Linked DNA regions of Anolis sagrei. The protein of the gene in region 2 purifies or fractionates together with the protein of the main gene of each other region. This does not show direct contact. Links are inferred from orthologs where the notes say so. Each region holds a gene or a part of one and is shown on either strand. Other genes may lie near its edges.

Region 1 (7,829 bases), on a different chromosome or scaffold from region 2:
AGAAATACTACTTTTTGTATTAATGCTTTCAGAACCTCTCAGACAGCATGGCAACCTAAGCCAGATTTACAGTCAGCTAATGACATAATCTTTAGGAAAACACCCTTTGCTCTGAGCTGGCTCATTTCATATTCTAGATACTTTATGTCTGGTTTTAAGATGCTTTATATTATAGGAAGGGTTTTGTTCTTACTGAAAGGCAGTGGTAAAGAGTTTGGGGGAAATTCCCAAAAACAAACTTTGATTTTTCTGCCTCCTGATATGTAGACATAGTTTGCTATTACTTCCTGCCATTTCACAGATCCATAGGTTCTCTCTGACATTCATCAGAGTTGGTCTCCAGTTTAAATAAGTTGTGTTATTCTACTACATCATTGTATGTAAGGACACCTGAGCATCCATGGATTTTGGTATTCACGGGGGGGGGGGGGGGGGAGACGTGCCTGGAACTAAATTCCAACAGATACAGAGGGCTACTCTACTTCAATATTGAACAAAATAAGCACAGAAGGAATATGGGATCTGTCCCGCTGAGGTTGCCCAAATCTTTATTAATTTATTTTATTTTTTTATCCTGCCTTTCCCTTGACAATAGGGATTCACAGCATCTGATATATGAGGCTTGCCTCTTTGTGACTAATGCTGGAGATAGTCTTGCTCCCATTTCACAAAGCAGGCCTCACCCCATCTCACAAGGATATGGTCAAATTGCTCAGCCAACTGTGCTTCAGCTCTTTTGTCTTTCTTCAAAAAGGCCTTCTCTAATATAATTTAATGCTAGAGTTAGCCATGGAAAGCTTAGCCTTCCCATATTAATTGAATAGTATCTTAATCCCAAAAACGATATACGAAGCTTTCCACAGCATCAAGGTAAACACCACTGCTAATATCTGGATAATATGAAAGCGAAAGCTGGCAACCTTCAATCTATTGTTTGCAGTACAGTGGAGTTCTCAATGAGGAGCGGAGAATGCCAATGGAGAGGTATAGCACCCTCTACTGGGTCTCTGCAATAAAGGTAACTTCAGGAACACATCTTGTAAAGGCAACACATGTATTTGAGGATGGGTACTTTGTTGCCAAATAGAAAGGTGTAATAAACACATGTAAATTATTGAAAGCTTGAGTCTGAGCTGAAAAAACACCTCGTTGTTGTTGTTGTTGTAAATGACCCAATGAATGAGAGTCCTCTACATCCACATTGTACAATTAATGCAATTTGATACCACTTTAACTACCCTGGCTCAAGGATAGGGCATCATGAGAGTTGTGATTTCACAAGGTCTTTAGCCTTCTCTGCCAGAGTGCTGTTGCCTCACCAAACTCCAACTCCCAGGATCCCATAGCAGTCAACTAATGATGGGTTTTTTTTGTTTTTGTTTTTGTTTTGCCGTGTCAGGTCTGATTTGAGAAACTGCAAGCCGCTTCTAGTGTGAGAGAATTGGCCGTCTGCAAGGACATTGCCCAAGGGACACCCGGATGTTTTGATGTTTTACCACCCTTGTGGGAGGCTTCTCTCGTGTCCCCGCATGGAGAGCTGGAGCTGATAGAGGGACTCATCCACACTCTTCCTGGATTTGAATCTCTGACCTGTCGGTCTTCAGTCCTGCTGGCACAAGGGTTTAACCCACTGCGCCACCAGGGGCTCTATCAAGGCTGTTAAAGTGGTGTCAAACAAAGTGCAGATGGACATCAACATCCCTGCTCAGATTTTCAGACTCAGGGCCATGGCTTTCTTGACTGAGTTCACCCATCTCTAATGTGGCTTTTCATGGACAGCCATCCAAGGCCTCATAGGGGGTTAATGTACCCACCATCACCTTCCAGAGCTGCCCTCTCCTGCAATAAAACATGGGCAGAATATCAATAGCATCCTCTTAAAATGTCTTGGTTGGTGGGCTCTTCCCACCGATGTTTATACAGTATGTGAAAGATAAATACAACAGAGAAGAGCATCTTTCCCTGCAATAAAATTATGTAATGCATACATTTTCTTGGAAGATATTCAAGTTTCAACATGGTGCAGTCAGCCCTTCACCTTCATTGGAGTTAGGGGCTTCCTGATGTGGGGGAATAGCAACACCCCCCACGTGTTTCAGGATTCAGCAACATATTTGTGTTCATTGGTTACAGCTCTCTTTCTCCTTTTGTTCCAGGAAAACTTGCAGTGGTACGGGAGATGATGGCTTGCAGATTGGCACTTTGCCCCATACTACCATTTTGAGTAATACTGGGTAAAACAATCACTTTCCCCTTTGAAATGAAACACCGAGCCTTATAAAACCTTTCTCATAATTTCCCACTTCCATAGCATTATATCAGACATTGTATCATACATTGCCAGCCAAATACAACTGTGATGCCAGCTTTCAATTTGTAAAGATATATTTTCTTCTTCACAGTATACAGTGTAGTCTGTACAGCCTAATCCTGTGAATGTGTACTCAAAGTTTGTCTTTAACATGGGTAATAGCAGACAATATTAATAGCCCTATATTGTTGTTTATTGCTTTCAGGCCTATGTCTCAAGTATTCACTCTTGAACTGAACATTAGGACCTCATCTGGTTAGGCACACAAAACCTTGGGATGTGACTGTTGATTAGGCTCCATCTACACTGCTATATAATGCAGTTCGAAACCATTTTATATGGTAGTATAGACCCATCTTAATAGACCCATATTAAGATAATTGGGGGAGGGAGTTACAAAAGAAGAAAGAAAAAGAAAAGAAATTAAATAGATTATAGATTTATAGGCTGTTAAGGGTTAGGGAGGAGGGAAGGAATTGCAAAGAAGAAGAAGAAGACCACCAACATTCTGTTTTCCATTCCTGAGTTGGGATTATAGTCACTGCTATTTTGTTGTTGATTCATTCATTCATTCCCTTCCAACTCTTCGTGACACCTCCCCCAGCTCCTTCAAGGTCCAGCCAGTCACTTCAAAGGTACTATCCATCCATCTTGCCCTTGGTCGGTACCTCTTCTTTTTTCCTTCCATTTTTCCCAGCATCATTATCTTCTCCAAGCTTTCCTGTCTTCTCATGATGTGACCAAAGTACTTCTTCTTTGCCTCTAATATCCTTCCCTACAGTGAACAGCTGGGTATTATTTCCTGGAGTATGGACTTCTTATGGTCCAAAGCACTCTCATAATTTTCCTCTAGCACCACAGTTCAAAAGCATCTATCTTCCTTCGCTCAGCCTTCCTTATGGCCCAGCTCTCACATCCGTAGGTGACTATGGAGAATACCATTGCTTTAACTATATGGATCTTCGTTGCCAGGGTGATGTCTCTTTGTTGTTGTTCATTTGTTCAGTTGCTTCTGACTCTTCGTGACCTCATGGGCCAGCCCACGCCAGAGCTCTCTGTCAGCTGTCACCATCCCCAGCTCCTTCAGGGTCCAGCCAGTCCCTTCAAGGATGCCATCTACCCATCTTGCCCTTGGTTGGCCCCTCTTCCTTTTTCCTTCCATTTTCCCCAGCATCATGATCTTCTCCAAGCTTTCCTGTCTTCAGGATGTGGCCAAAGTACTTCATCTTTGTCTCTACTACCCTTCCCTACAGTGAGCAGCTGGGTATTATTTCCTGGAGTATGGACTTCTTATGGTCCAAAGCACTCTCTCAATTTTCCTCCAACACAACAGTTCAACAGTGTCTATCTTCCTTATGGCCCAGCTCTCACATCCATAGGTTTCTATGGGGAATACCCAGGGGCGGCTCAACCCATTACACAAAGTAAGCATTCGCAGTATAGTTGATTTTGGCCAGGGGCGCTCTTGAGGCGCTCTTGGGGGAAAATAGACCTTGACATATGTGAGTTCGGTTGTAGTTACTGGGATTTATAGTTCACCTAAAATCAAAGAGCATTCTGAACTCCACCAATGATAGAATTGAACCAAATATGGCACACAGAACTCCCACAACGAACAGAAAATATAGATCAGTGATTGGTTGGGGTGGGGGGACCAAAATATTGTTTGCTTACGTTGAAAATTACCTAGGGCTGCCTCTGGGAATACCATTGCTTTAACTATGCGGATCTTTGTTGCCAGTGTGATGTCTCTACTCTTCACTATTTTATCAAGATTGGGCATTGCTCTCCTCCCAAGAAGCAAACGTCTTCTGATTTCCTGGCTGAGGTCTGCATCTGCAGTTATCTTTGCTCCTAGAAATACAAAGTCTGTCACTGCCTGCACGTTTTCTCCTTCTGCTTGCCAGTTATCAATCAGTCTGGTTGCCAGAATCTTGGTTTTTTTGATGTTTAACTGCGACCCAGCCTTTGCACATTCTTCTTTCACCTTGTGTATGCAACTTGCCAAGTGTATGCAATTTAACAAGAAGGCTGCTCAGCTCCTCCTCGCTTTCGAGCATCAAAGTGGCATCATCTGCTGGAAGGAGCACAATACACAGATTTGCCGGGTCAGCGCATGCGCACAATGGCTGTTCTCCGAGGGCCGTGAGCTCAGACTCGCCTGCCTCCTTCTGCTCCGGGGCCTGCAGTGGCGGGGCCGGCCCGCTAGGGGCGCTCTCCCGGCGGGGCCTGCTCTCTTTCTCGCCCGCCTGCCTGCCTGCCTTCCTGCGAAGGGAGGGCGGGCTCAGTCCCTCCTCCTCCTCCTCCTCCTCCTCCTCCTCCTCCTCCTCCCTCTGCTGCTGCTCCTGCCTCGGCGCTGCCTCTCCGGGAGCCTGCCTGCTTGCTTGCCTGCGTGCCGCGGCGGCCACTGAAGCGCCATCGATGCCGGGAGCGCGGAGGCGGCGGTGGCGGCGCTCCTGCTGCTGCTGAGCGAGGTGGGGGCGGCCCCGCCCGGAGATGGGGATCCTCAGCATCACGGACCAGGTATCCCGCGGGAACGCCGAGGCCTCCCCCTCCCTCCCGGCCGCGCCCGCCACGCGAGCCTGGGGATGCGCGGCCTAGTCCGGAGCCGCCCCTTCCTCGCTCGGCGGGAAACTCCCCTCCCCGCCTCCCCCAGCCTCCTTGGCCCCGCCGCCCCAGAGGAACCCCCTCCTCAGTGGGGGAAGCCAGGAGAAGGAGAGGAGGAGGAAGGCGGGCCTCGGCAACGCCCGCCTTTCCCGCCCAAGGAGGCGCAGCAGCGCGGCAGGCAGGCAGGCCTCCCTCCTCCTCCTCCTCTCCTCACTGTGGATGGACGCAGTTTGGCCCCGCTCTCGCGGCCATGGCTCGAGGCTAGCGGACCCACTTTGCAAGGCCTTCAGCCCAAGAGGGATGAAAGCGCGTCAACAAAAAGCCACAGCTCCCAGGATTCCATAGCATTGAGCCCTGGCGCCCCAGGGAGAACGCGGCGTCCCTTCTCTTGCTCTTCCTTTCTTCCTTCCTTCCTTCCTTCCTTCCTTCCTTCTTTTCCAGTCCTTGCCGGGTTGCCTTCCACGGCGCCCCCTCCCCCGGCCATGATGCCAAGGCCGCATTCGGGGAGGGAGCCTCGTCGCCGCCACCGCCGCCGCCTCAGGGCGCGTCTGCACTGTCGAACTAATGCAGTTGGACACCGCTTGAACTTCACTGGCCCCATGCTATGTCATCCCCGGAGTTGTAGTTTGGAAAGGCACCAGTTTTAGGAAAGCATGATCTTTTAGAGATCAAATTACTAGAGGTTGTAATTTCCAACAACTAGTATCCTTTGGATTATTTAAAGAATCACGGAATCTAGGTTGTAGATTTTTTTTGGGCTGTATGGCCATATTCTAGAGGCATTCTCTCCTGACGTTTCGCCTGCATCTGTGGCAAGCATCATCAGAGCCTCAGGCCCCTTCCTTCCCCCCCTCAGCCGCTTAAGCTGAGGCTCTGAAGATGCTTGCCACAGATGCAGGCGAAACGTCAGAAGAGAACATGGCCATACAGCCTAAAAAACCTGCAACAACCCAGTGATTCCTGCCATGAAAGCCTTCAACAATACATAATCACAGGATTCCCCATGGTGCAATGGGTTAAACCCTTGTGCTAGCTGAATCCGGGGAGCGCCCTCTGTCAGCTTCAGCTTCCCATGCATGGACATGAGAGAAGTCTCCCACAAGGAGGGTAAAACATCAAAAACATCCGTGTGTCTCCTGGGAATGTCCTTGCAGATGGCCAATTATCTCATACCAGAAGTGACTTGCAGTTTCTCAAGTTTCTCCTGACATGGAGGGAAAAAAAAGAATTACAGAGTTGGAAAAACCACAAAGGTCATCCAATCCGTTCTGGGAATCACTGGGTTGCTGTGAGTTTTTCAGGCTGTATGGCCATGTTCCTGCAGCATCCTCTCCAGCAGCATCCTCTCCTCCGTGATTGTAGGAATCACTAAGTTGCTATCAGTTTTTCAGGCTTATGGCCATGCTCCAGCAGCATTCTCTCCTGAAGTTTCACCTGCATCTGTGGCTGGCATCTTCAGACGAACCTTCAGATGTGGCTGATATCTTCAGAGGCTCATCTGAAGATGCAGCGGAACGTCAGGAGAGAATGCTGCTGGAGCATGGCCATAAGCTTGACAAACTGATAGCAACTCAGTGGTTCCTACAACGGACTGGATGAAGGAAACAATGAAAATGAACAAAATCTGGCTATCAGTATTTTTAAAAAAACTCTAAAATCACATCAGCAAATAAAGAAAAACACTTTGAAAACACAGGAATTCCAGACAAGAAAAATCAGGCCTCTCAACTAAGGATTCCCCCAGGCAGGAAGCAGCCAGGCTTTGAAGCTGCAAGGCTTTTCAATGCTAGTCAAGGTGATTAATTGCACCATTCACACTTGCCTCCAACATACAAGAGTTCTTTCTCCATCTCTGGATCTTCCACAGATATATAAACCTCTCTCACTTAGTTCCAATATACCTCAGAACCTCTGAAGGTGCTGCTGTAGATGTGGGTGAAACGTCAGGCGAGAATGACCATTGGGGGTGCTTTGAATGCAGTTTTCCTGCTTCTTGGCAGGGGGTTGGACTGGATGGCCCACAAGGTCTCTTCCAGCTCTATAATTCTATGAATGCTTCTGGAACATGGCCATGCAGCCCGGATAACTCACATCAGCCCAGGATTGGATGATTTTTGCAATCTTTCCTACTTTGTAATTCTACAAGCTGTAGTTATCTGCAAAACTCACAGTAACTCATCATCCAGTCCAATCCCATTCTGCCATGCACATAATCAAAGCACCCCCAACAGATGGCCATACAACCTCTGCTTAAAAACATCCAGAGAAGGAGACTGCACCACACTCTGAGGTAGCACATTCCACTGCTCTTACCTTCAGGAAGTTCTTCCAAATGTTCAGGTGGAATAATTTTTCCCACAATTTGAATCCACTGCTCTGTGTCCTAGTCTCCAGATATGCAGAAAACAAGCTTGCCCCCTCCTCAGTGTAACATCCTTCCATAGCATTGAGCCATGGCAGTTCAAGTGGTGTCAAATGGCATTAATTCTGCAATGTAGATGCATGCTCTCTTCTCCAGGAAGTGGAGCAAGGAAGATTTTTTTTCTCCAGAGGTCGTTTCTCCTCTCCGCTCCTCTGTTGTGAAAGGAAAATTCGGTACAATTCCTCTATCTGTCTTAAAGGCAGGCTTGGGATCCAAGTGGCAACACTATTTCTTGGGCACTGTCTAGTGCTGCACCTCGCTCTGCCTCTCCCTCCAGATTGAGGGGCTTCCTCTTTTGTATTCCCTTATTTACACATGCCAAAATGAACCAAGTCTGTCATTTCCCAAAATACCTTCTTCTATATAAGAGTCCTTTTTATAGACAAATCATTTTCCCATGATGTATATGTGCAGCATATTAGGTTGCATTTCTGCTGATCGGCAAGTCAAATTTTGGATACTGGTGCATGTTACATTTGCAAAGCTTAC
Region 2 (8,551 bases):
CACTTCAGTTCTGATCAAACTGATCTTTTCCTGTAATCTGCATAATTTTTAAAATTTGATTCTGTCAACTCCTCTGCCTTTCTAGTTAGTGAGCAAGTGCCCCCATGCTCTCCAACCAGTTTTGACATTCCACTTAGCAAAGCTGCCCACTTACATTTAAAGGGGAGTTTAAAACACTTTTATAGAAAAACACACCTGACAGCTTGCACTAGGCTGAGAAATACAAGACAATGTCTTTTTATATAGTATTGTAATGTAGTTTGCAGTGCATTATTTTATTTTTCTTACTGTCTATGTGCCTGTTTCACATATAATATATATGGATTATCCCCAAAATCTCAGTACATAGGAAAAAGTAACAAACTCAGATTATATTTTACATTATATTACATATTCTTAATAGTATATATATATATATAAAATATTGGAAGGGTTTTGTAATATTTTGTAATTAATATTATTTTGTTAATAAATGTAGCTACAATTTTCCATTTTCCCTATGTATGGCAACTTTTGGAGAAACCTGTATGTGTATACATGTATGTATGTATACATGTATATATAAGGCATGGGCCCTCCAGGTGTTTTGCACTTCAAATCTCAGAATTCCTAACAGCCAGAAGTACAAAACACTTGGATGCCCAATGTTTGCCCATGCCTGATATAAATATCAAAAGTCAACAAGTGTCTTTTGATATTTAATAACTCCTTTGTTTTATTTTGTTTTTAACTTGCAATACCATAGCATCATATTCATATGGGAAATTGTGTCAATTCACAAGGTGCCATGGGTCAGCTTCATATGGGCCTATTCAGACTGGAATGGAAGGACTGAAGAGGAGGGCTAATCTAATCTCTTTTGGGAGGGTATTCCAGAGCCAGGGGGCCACCACAGGGAAGGCCCTCTCTCTTATCCCCACTAACCATGCTTGAGATGAAGGTGAGACCAAGAGAAGGTCCTCCCATGTCAATCTCAGAGCCAGTGCTGGTTCATAGAAAGAGATGCTGTCACAAAGATAGGTTGAACCCAAAGCGTATAGGGCTTCTCAAACTCACAGCAACCCAATGATTCTTGCCACGAAAGCCTTTGACAACATAATGTTTAATACTGTTTTACTATTTATATATTTGAAGTGGTATTGTGAGCCGCTTTGAGTCTCTGCATGGTGAGAAAAAGCGGGATATAAACAAACATGGCAAAAGTATGATAGCTGGGACCCAATGCTGTTTGCGCGATGCAGGTCAGACTTAGAGAAGCGAAGATGTTAAGCATTTGAACGTGTTTGCATACGATGTCTATATAGCCTTAAGCACTATGCTTGGCTGTTTACTGACCCCCCCCCCCCTTTTCTGGTGAACTATGTTGCCACGACTGTCGTACCTGCATCTCTCACTTGCTGCGCTTTCTCGGCATTGGGTCCCAGCTATCATACTTTTGCCAAACATTAATTATTATTATTATTATTATTATTATTTGAAACACAACAAGACGAGTCCACAGCAAACAAGATCACTCTGCTGGCTGTTGTATTGGATCACACGTCAGACACTTCCCAAGTGTCTAGGACTGTGTGATGTATCGGTGACTTATACTCAAGTCAGTTATTAATTATTTTACTCTGTTGTTGTTATTATTATTATTATTACATTTATTGTTTTACCTTATTATTATTATTATTATTATTATTTGTAACACAACATGATGAGTCCACAGCAGACATCTGCTGGCTGTTGTATTGGATCACATGTTGGACACTTCCCAAGTGTCTAGGACTGTGTGATGTATCGGTGAATAATGCATGCAGATCCCAGTAAGGTGGCCTTTTGTAGCTGACAGATGGTAATTTTGTCAGCGCCAATTGTGTTTAAGTGCAGGTCAAGGTCTTTAGGCACTGCACCCAGTGTGCCAATCACCACTGGGACCACCTTGTGCCAGAGTCTTTGCAGTTCGATCTTTAAATCCTCATATCAGGTCAGCTTTTTCCAGTTTTCTATTATTAATAATAATAATAATATTTTACTGACATCACAGTATGTCACAGTAAACGAGATCTATATGCTGGATTTCATATCACAAAATCACAAGTCGAACACTTCCCAAGTGTCTAGGACTGTGTGATGTTTTAATGCTTATATTGTTTTGTTAATCTTATGGTTATGTCGTTTTACTTTGTATGTTTTGAGATGTTACCTGGGAGCTGCTCCGAGTCCCCTCGGGGAGATAGAGCAGTATATAAACAAAGTTTTATTATTATTATTATTATTATTATTATTATTATGTATTTTCAAATGATGCGTGCAGATCCAAGTAAGGTGGCCTTTTGCAATTGACAGATCGTGATTTTGTCAATGTTTATTGTTTACAAATGCCGGCTGAGATCTTTTGGCATGGCACCCAGCTATTATTATTATTATTATATATTAGATCCAAGTAAGGTGGCCTTTTGCAATTGACAGATCGTGATTTTGTCAATGTTTATTGTTTCCAAATGCCGGCTGAGATCTTTTGGCACGGCACCCAGCTATTATTATTATTATTATTATTATTATATATTAGATCCAAGTAAGGTGGCCTTTTGCAATTGACAGATCGTGATTTTGTCAATGTTTATTGTTTCCAAATGCCGGCTGAGATCCCAGTTATTATTATTATTATTATTATTATTATATTAGATCCAAGTAAGGTGGCCTTTTGCAATTGACAGATCGTGATTTTGTCAATGTTTATTGTTTCCAAATGCTGGCCGAGATCCCAATTATTATTATTATTATTATTATTATTATATATTAGATCCAAGTAAGGTGGCCTTTTGCAATTGACAGATCGTGATTTTGTCAATGTTTATTGTTTCTAAATGCCGGCTGAGATCTTTTGGCACGGCACCCAGTTATCATTATCATTATTATATATTTGGCAGGAGTGACACTTTTAAAATGTACCTGTTCCGACTTGCATCCAAATTTAACTTCAGAGCAAAGCTACAAAGCCTATCTTTTTGGTAACTTGGGGATTACAACCATATATAAAAGATGAAGGCATGGAAGAAGGAAGGGCTACCCACAGGCCAAAGAGCTGGGCCTGGACAGGAAGGATGAGGAGAAGGAAGGAAGGAAGGAAAGGGCAAAGATCACGCCTGTGGGGGAGGGGGCGCTATTCCGGGGGAGGGTCTCCCAGAGGGAGCTCCAAAATGGCGGCAGCTCCCTTCCTTGTCACACACACACAGCTCCCCTCAGTCCCTGAGAGGCGCAGGCCTTCCCTCCCTCTCTCTCCTTCCCCCCTTCCCTTCCCCTCCACCGCCAGCCCCTTTCCCCCTCTTTCTCTCTCTCTCTCTCACCGGGCTCGAGCCCCCTTCGTCCTGCCCCAGTCTTCTTCTTCTTCTTCTCTTGCGAAGGAAGGAAGGAAGAAGGAGGGAGGGAGGGGGGCGGCTCTTTCGCTGGCTCGCGCTCCACTTTTTTTTTTCCTCCCTTCACCGCCGCGATCCCACAATCCCCCGCGCGCGCGCGCCTCCCAGCGGCCGACTCGCCGTTTCCTCCTCCTCCTCCTCTTCGCGCTTCTTTCCCCTCAGGCTTGGCCCCGCCCCCTCCTCCTCCCCCTTTCTCCAATGCGATTGGCTCCCAACCTTTAAGACTTCAACTCCCAGAAGACCAAAGCGCTGAGGCAAAGGGTTGAGATATCTGGGAAATGTAGTAAAAAGAGTAGGAAGCGCAAACTGCGCATGCGTCATTCGGATTCCCTCACCCCCGCCGATTGAGGGACGAACGGGGATGAGTTGCGCATGCGCGGGCTTACTCTCTTCACCTTCCATTTTCTGTATTTAAGCCCACCCGCCAAAATACCTGGGAGTTACCCTAGACCAGGCATGGGCAAACCTCGCCCCTCCTGGTGTTTCGGACTTCAACTGTCACAATTCCTAACAATCTGTTTTGGACATATGACTCCCTAAAAGAAGAGGGAGACCAGTTGCGCATGCGCCGGACTCCCTTTCCTCAGCCTACCTCATTCCTAACTTAGGGGAATTAGCTGCGCATGCGTCGGACTCCCATTCTTCAACATCCCTCATTCCTGATTTAGGGGAATTACCTGCGCATGCGTCGGACTCCCTTTCCTCAGCCTCCCTCATTCCCGACTTAGGGGAATTAACTGCGCATGCGTGAGACTCCCTTTCTTCAGCATCCCTTATTCCTGATTTAGGGGAGGACTCCCTTTCCTCAGCCTCTTGTCATTCCTGACTTAGGGGAATTAGCTGCGCATGCGTCAGACTCCCATTCCTCAGCCTCCCTCCTTCCTGACTTCGAGGAATTAGCTGCGCATGCGTCAAATTCCCTTTCCTCATCCTCCCACATTCCTGACTTCGGGGAATTAGCTGCGCATGCGTCGGACTCCCTTTCCTCAGCCTCATTTCTGATTTGGGGGAATTAGCTGCGCATGCGTCGGAGCCCCCCCCCCCCCCGGTGGCGCAGTGGGTTAAGCCCCTGTGCCGGCAGGACTGAAGACTGACAGGTCGCAGGTTCGAATCCGGGGAGAGGCGGATGAGCTCCCTCTATCAGCTCCAGCTCCTCATGCGGGGACATGAGAGAAGCCTCCCACAAGGATGATAAAAACATCAAATCAATCCAGGCGTCCCCAGGGCAAGGTCCTTGTGGACGGCCAATTCTCTCACACCAGAAGCGACTTGCAGTTTCTCAGGTCGCTCCTGACACGACAAAAAATATATCCTGACTTAGGGGAATTAGCTGCGCATGCGTCAGACTCCCTTTCCTCAGACTCCCTTTCCTCAGACTCCCTCATTCCTGATTTAGGGGAATTAGCTGCGCATGCGTCGGACTCCCTTTCCTCAGACTCCCTCATTCCTGACTTAGGGGAATTAGCTGCGCATGCGTCAGACTCCCTTTCCTCAGCCTCATTTCTGATTTAGGGAATTAGTTGCGCATGCGTCGGACTCCTGGTAGAGGACTGGAAGTCCGGCGCATGCGCAACGAATTCCTCTAAGTCAGGAATGAGGGAGGCTTAGGAATGGGAGTCCGACGGGAATCAGCCTCCCTCCGACTTAGGGGAATTAGTTGCGCATGCGTCGGGCTCCCTCTCTCCATTTTCAGAATTCTCGCTTGGCTTCTCCTTGGTTCATCCTTCTCCTCCTTTTCCCCCAAAGGCCAGTGGTTCTACAGGACATTGAACTCCAGTTTCCAAGAGTACCACCAGCCAGCAGGACCAAATTTTAGGAATTCTGGGAATTGAAGTAAAGACTAGGGAGAGCATCTGCGCATGCGTCGAATTCCTTCTCGTCTTTCCTTCTTCCCGCCGATGGAGGGACTAAGAAAATCTGTTGCGCATGCGCTGGGCCTATCTTCTTGGCCTAGCTCATTTTTAGGTGGATTTTGAGCGCTTGCTTGCGTACTTTCCCTGGATTCAAAGCAGGTTGAATTCATTAGGAGGGAACTATCAGTTATCCTGCAGATAAAGTAGAAAAATAGCGCTGTAACAGTGTGTCTTCTAGCTCTGTAGCCTTTATCAATCACAAAGCCCCATAAAATCCAATGCAGCTCCTCTTGGTTTCACATTTAGAAAAGTTGTAGTTCAAATCACTCAGGATAGTCTCAGAGTATTATTGCTTGTTGAAATGTAGGCCCTTCCACACAGCCATTGTGTATTTGTTCAATAATTTCTGGCTCTTCATGACTTCATAGAGAATCATAGAGTTGGAAGAGACCTCATGGGCCATCCAGTCCAACCCCCTGCTAAGAAGCAGGAAAATTGCATTCAAAGCACCCCGACAGATGGCCATCCAGCCTCTGCTTAAAAGCCTCCCAAGAAGGAGCCTCCTCCACACTCTGGGGCAGAGAGTTCCATTTCTGAACAGCTCTCACAGTTAGGAAGTTCTTCCTAATGTTCAGGTGGAATCTCTTTTCGGTACTTTGAAGCCATTGTTCTGCGTCCTAGTCTCCAGGGAAGCAGAAAACAAGTTTGCTCCCTCCTTCCTATGACTTGCTCTCACTTATTTATACATGGCTATCATGTATCACCGGAGCCCCGGTGGCGCAGTGGGTTAAAGCACTGAGCTGCTAAACTTGTTGACCGAAAGGTTGCAGGTTCGAATCCGGGGAGCGGTGTAAGCTTCCGCTGTCAGCCCCAGCTTCTGCCAACCTAGCAGTTCGAAAACATGCAAATGTGAGTAGATCAATAGGTACCGCCCCGGCGGGAAGGTAACAGCGCTCCATGCAGTCATGCTGGCCACATGACCTTGGAGGTGTCTACGGACGACGTTGGCTCTTCGGCTTAGAAATGGAGATGAGCACCACACCCCAGAGTCGGACACGACTGGACTTAATGTCAGGGGACAACCTTTACCTTTACCTTTATCATGTATAAGGACCAATTAGCAACAGTAAGAACTGACCATGGAACAACAGACTGGTTCAAGATTGGGCAAGTCCAGAGTCGGACACGACTGGACTTAATGTCAGGGGACAACCTTTACCTTTATCATGTATAAGGACCAATTAGCAACAGTAAGAACTGACCATGGAACAACAGACTGGTTCAAGATTGGGAAAGGTGTATGGCAGGGTTGTATACTCTCCTCCAACCTATTCAACTTGTATGCAGAACACATCATGCGATGTGCGGGGCTTGACGAATGCAAGGCTGGGATTAAAATTGCTGGAAGAAACATTAACAACCTTAGATATGCAGATGACACCACTTTGATGGTCAAAAGCGAGGAGGAACTGAGGAGCCTTTTAATCAAGGTGAAAGAAGAAAATGCAAAAGCTGGGTTGCAGCTAAACATTTAAAAAAAAAAACAAGATTATAGCAACAAGAATGATTAACAACTGGGAAATAGAGGGAGAAAATGTGACAGTGACAGACCAAGGGCAAGATGGATAGATGGCATCCTTGAAGTGACTGGACTGACCTTGAAGAATTTGGGGGTGGTGACGGCTGACAGGGAGCTCTGGCGTGGGCTGGTCCATGAGGTCACAAAGAGTCAGAAACGACTGAACAAACAACAATCATGTCTCCTCCCAGCCCATACCAAAGCTCCCTGTTGGCTGTGGCCACCCCCAGTTCCTTCAAAGTAAAGCCAGTCACTTCAAGGATACCATCCATCCATCTTACCCTTGGTGGCCTGTCATCCTTTTTCCTCTCATTTTCCTCAGCATCATTATCTTCTCCAAGCTTTCTTGTCTTCTCATTATGTGGCCAAAGTACTTCAACTTTGCCTCTAATATCCTTCCCTCCAGTGAGCAGCCGGGCATTATTTCCTGGAGGGTGGACTCGTTTGATCTTCTCACGGTCCTAGGCACTCTCAGGACTTTCCTCCAGCACCACAGTTCAAAAGCCTCTATTGTCCTTTACTCAGCCTTCCCTATGGTCCAGCTCTCACATCCATAGGTTACTACATGGAATACCATTGCTTTGACTATGCAGATCTTCGTTGTCAGTGTGATGTCTCTACTCTTCACTATTTTATCGAGATTGGACATTGCTCTCCTCCCAAGAAGTAAACGTCTTCTGATTTCCTGGCTGCAGTCTGCGTCTGCAGTAATCTTTGCACCTAGAAATATAGTCTGCCACTGCCTCCACATTTACTCCCTGTTTTACAGTTGTCAAATCAATCTAATTGCCATCATCTTGGGTTATTTTATGTTTAACTGCAACCCAGCTTTTGCACTTTATTCTTTCACCTTGATTAGAAAGCGAGGAGGAGTTCGGCTTCGCCTCGCTTTCAGCCATTAAAGTGGTATCATCTGCATATCTAAGGTTGTTAATATTCACCCAGCAATTTTAACTTCCATCCTTGGATTTGTCAAGCCCTGCATGTTGCATGATGCGTTCTGCATACAAGTTGAATAGGTTGGGTGAGAGTATACAGCCCTGCCATATTCCTTTCCCAATCTTGAAACAGTTAGTTGTTCTGTAGTTTGTTCTTGCTGTTGCAACCTGGTCAAAGGACATTTAATCAACTACCAAGTTTGCAAACTTTGTGGGTTTTTTTAACCTGTTTGTTTGTTTTGTTCTATTAAAAATGTAATACAATAGTCTGGTTGCCCCTGACACGATAAATAAATACCAACTATGTTGAATTGGTTGAGAGTTGACGAGGCTCCTCCCTAAACTACAAACCCTAGAATTCTGCAGGAGGCAGAAACCAGATTTTAAGCGGATTTTTTCTCTAGTGTGATGAGGCCCTTAGGCTATATGTAATAGATAGGTAGTTAGATAAATAGATAGATGGAGGGCCTTCTGTGCAGATTCTTTGTCAATGGATTCACCATAAGGCTAATGTGGCTTCAATTAAAATTAGGCCCCTTCTGCCATATAACCCAGAATATAAAGGCAGATAACCCACAATATCTGTTTTGAACTGGGATATGTGGCAGTGTGGACTCAGATATTCCAGTTCAAAACAGATATTGTGGGTTATTCTGCCTCGATACTCCGGATTGCTGCATGGAAGGGTCCTGGGTTATTTTAGGCCCCTTCCACACCGCTGAATAAAATCCCACATCTGCTTTTGAACTGGGTTATATGCAGTGTGACTCAGGGCCC

What was found. The genes of interacting proteins can lie anywhere in the genome.
Region 1: the proteins of PPP6R1 (region 2) and ANKRD52 purify together in Homo sapiens (co-immunoprecipitation; 3 studies listed by BioGRID and IntAct, with this or other methods). This does not show direct contact. The link is inferred for Anolis sagrei from reciprocal best matches to the Homo sapiens genes PPP6R1 and ANKRD52.

What each region holds. Positions count from the first base shown.
Region 1 is NC_090022.1:138,443,973-138,451,801, forward strand, and holds the start of ANKRD52 (serine/threonine-protein phosphatase 6 regulatory ankyrin repeat subunit C), read left to right. Parts: upstream 1-4,627; 5' UTR 4,628-4,807; coding exon 4,808-4,834; intron 4,835-7,829. UniProt on the Homo sapiens protein: Putative regulatory subunit of protein phosphatase 6 (PP6) that may be involved in the recognition of phosphoprotein substrates.
Region 2 is NC_090026.1:20,852,443-20,860,993, reverse strand, and holds the start of PPP6R1 (serine/threonine-protein phosphatase 6 regulatory subunit 1), read right to left. Parts: upstream 3,530-8,551; 5' UTR 3,336-3,529; intron 1-3,335. UniProt on the Homo sapiens protein: Regulatory subunit of protein phosphatase 6 (PP6). May function as a scaffolding PP6 subunit. Involved in the PP6-mediated dephosphorylation of NFKBIE opposing its degradation in response to TNF-alpha.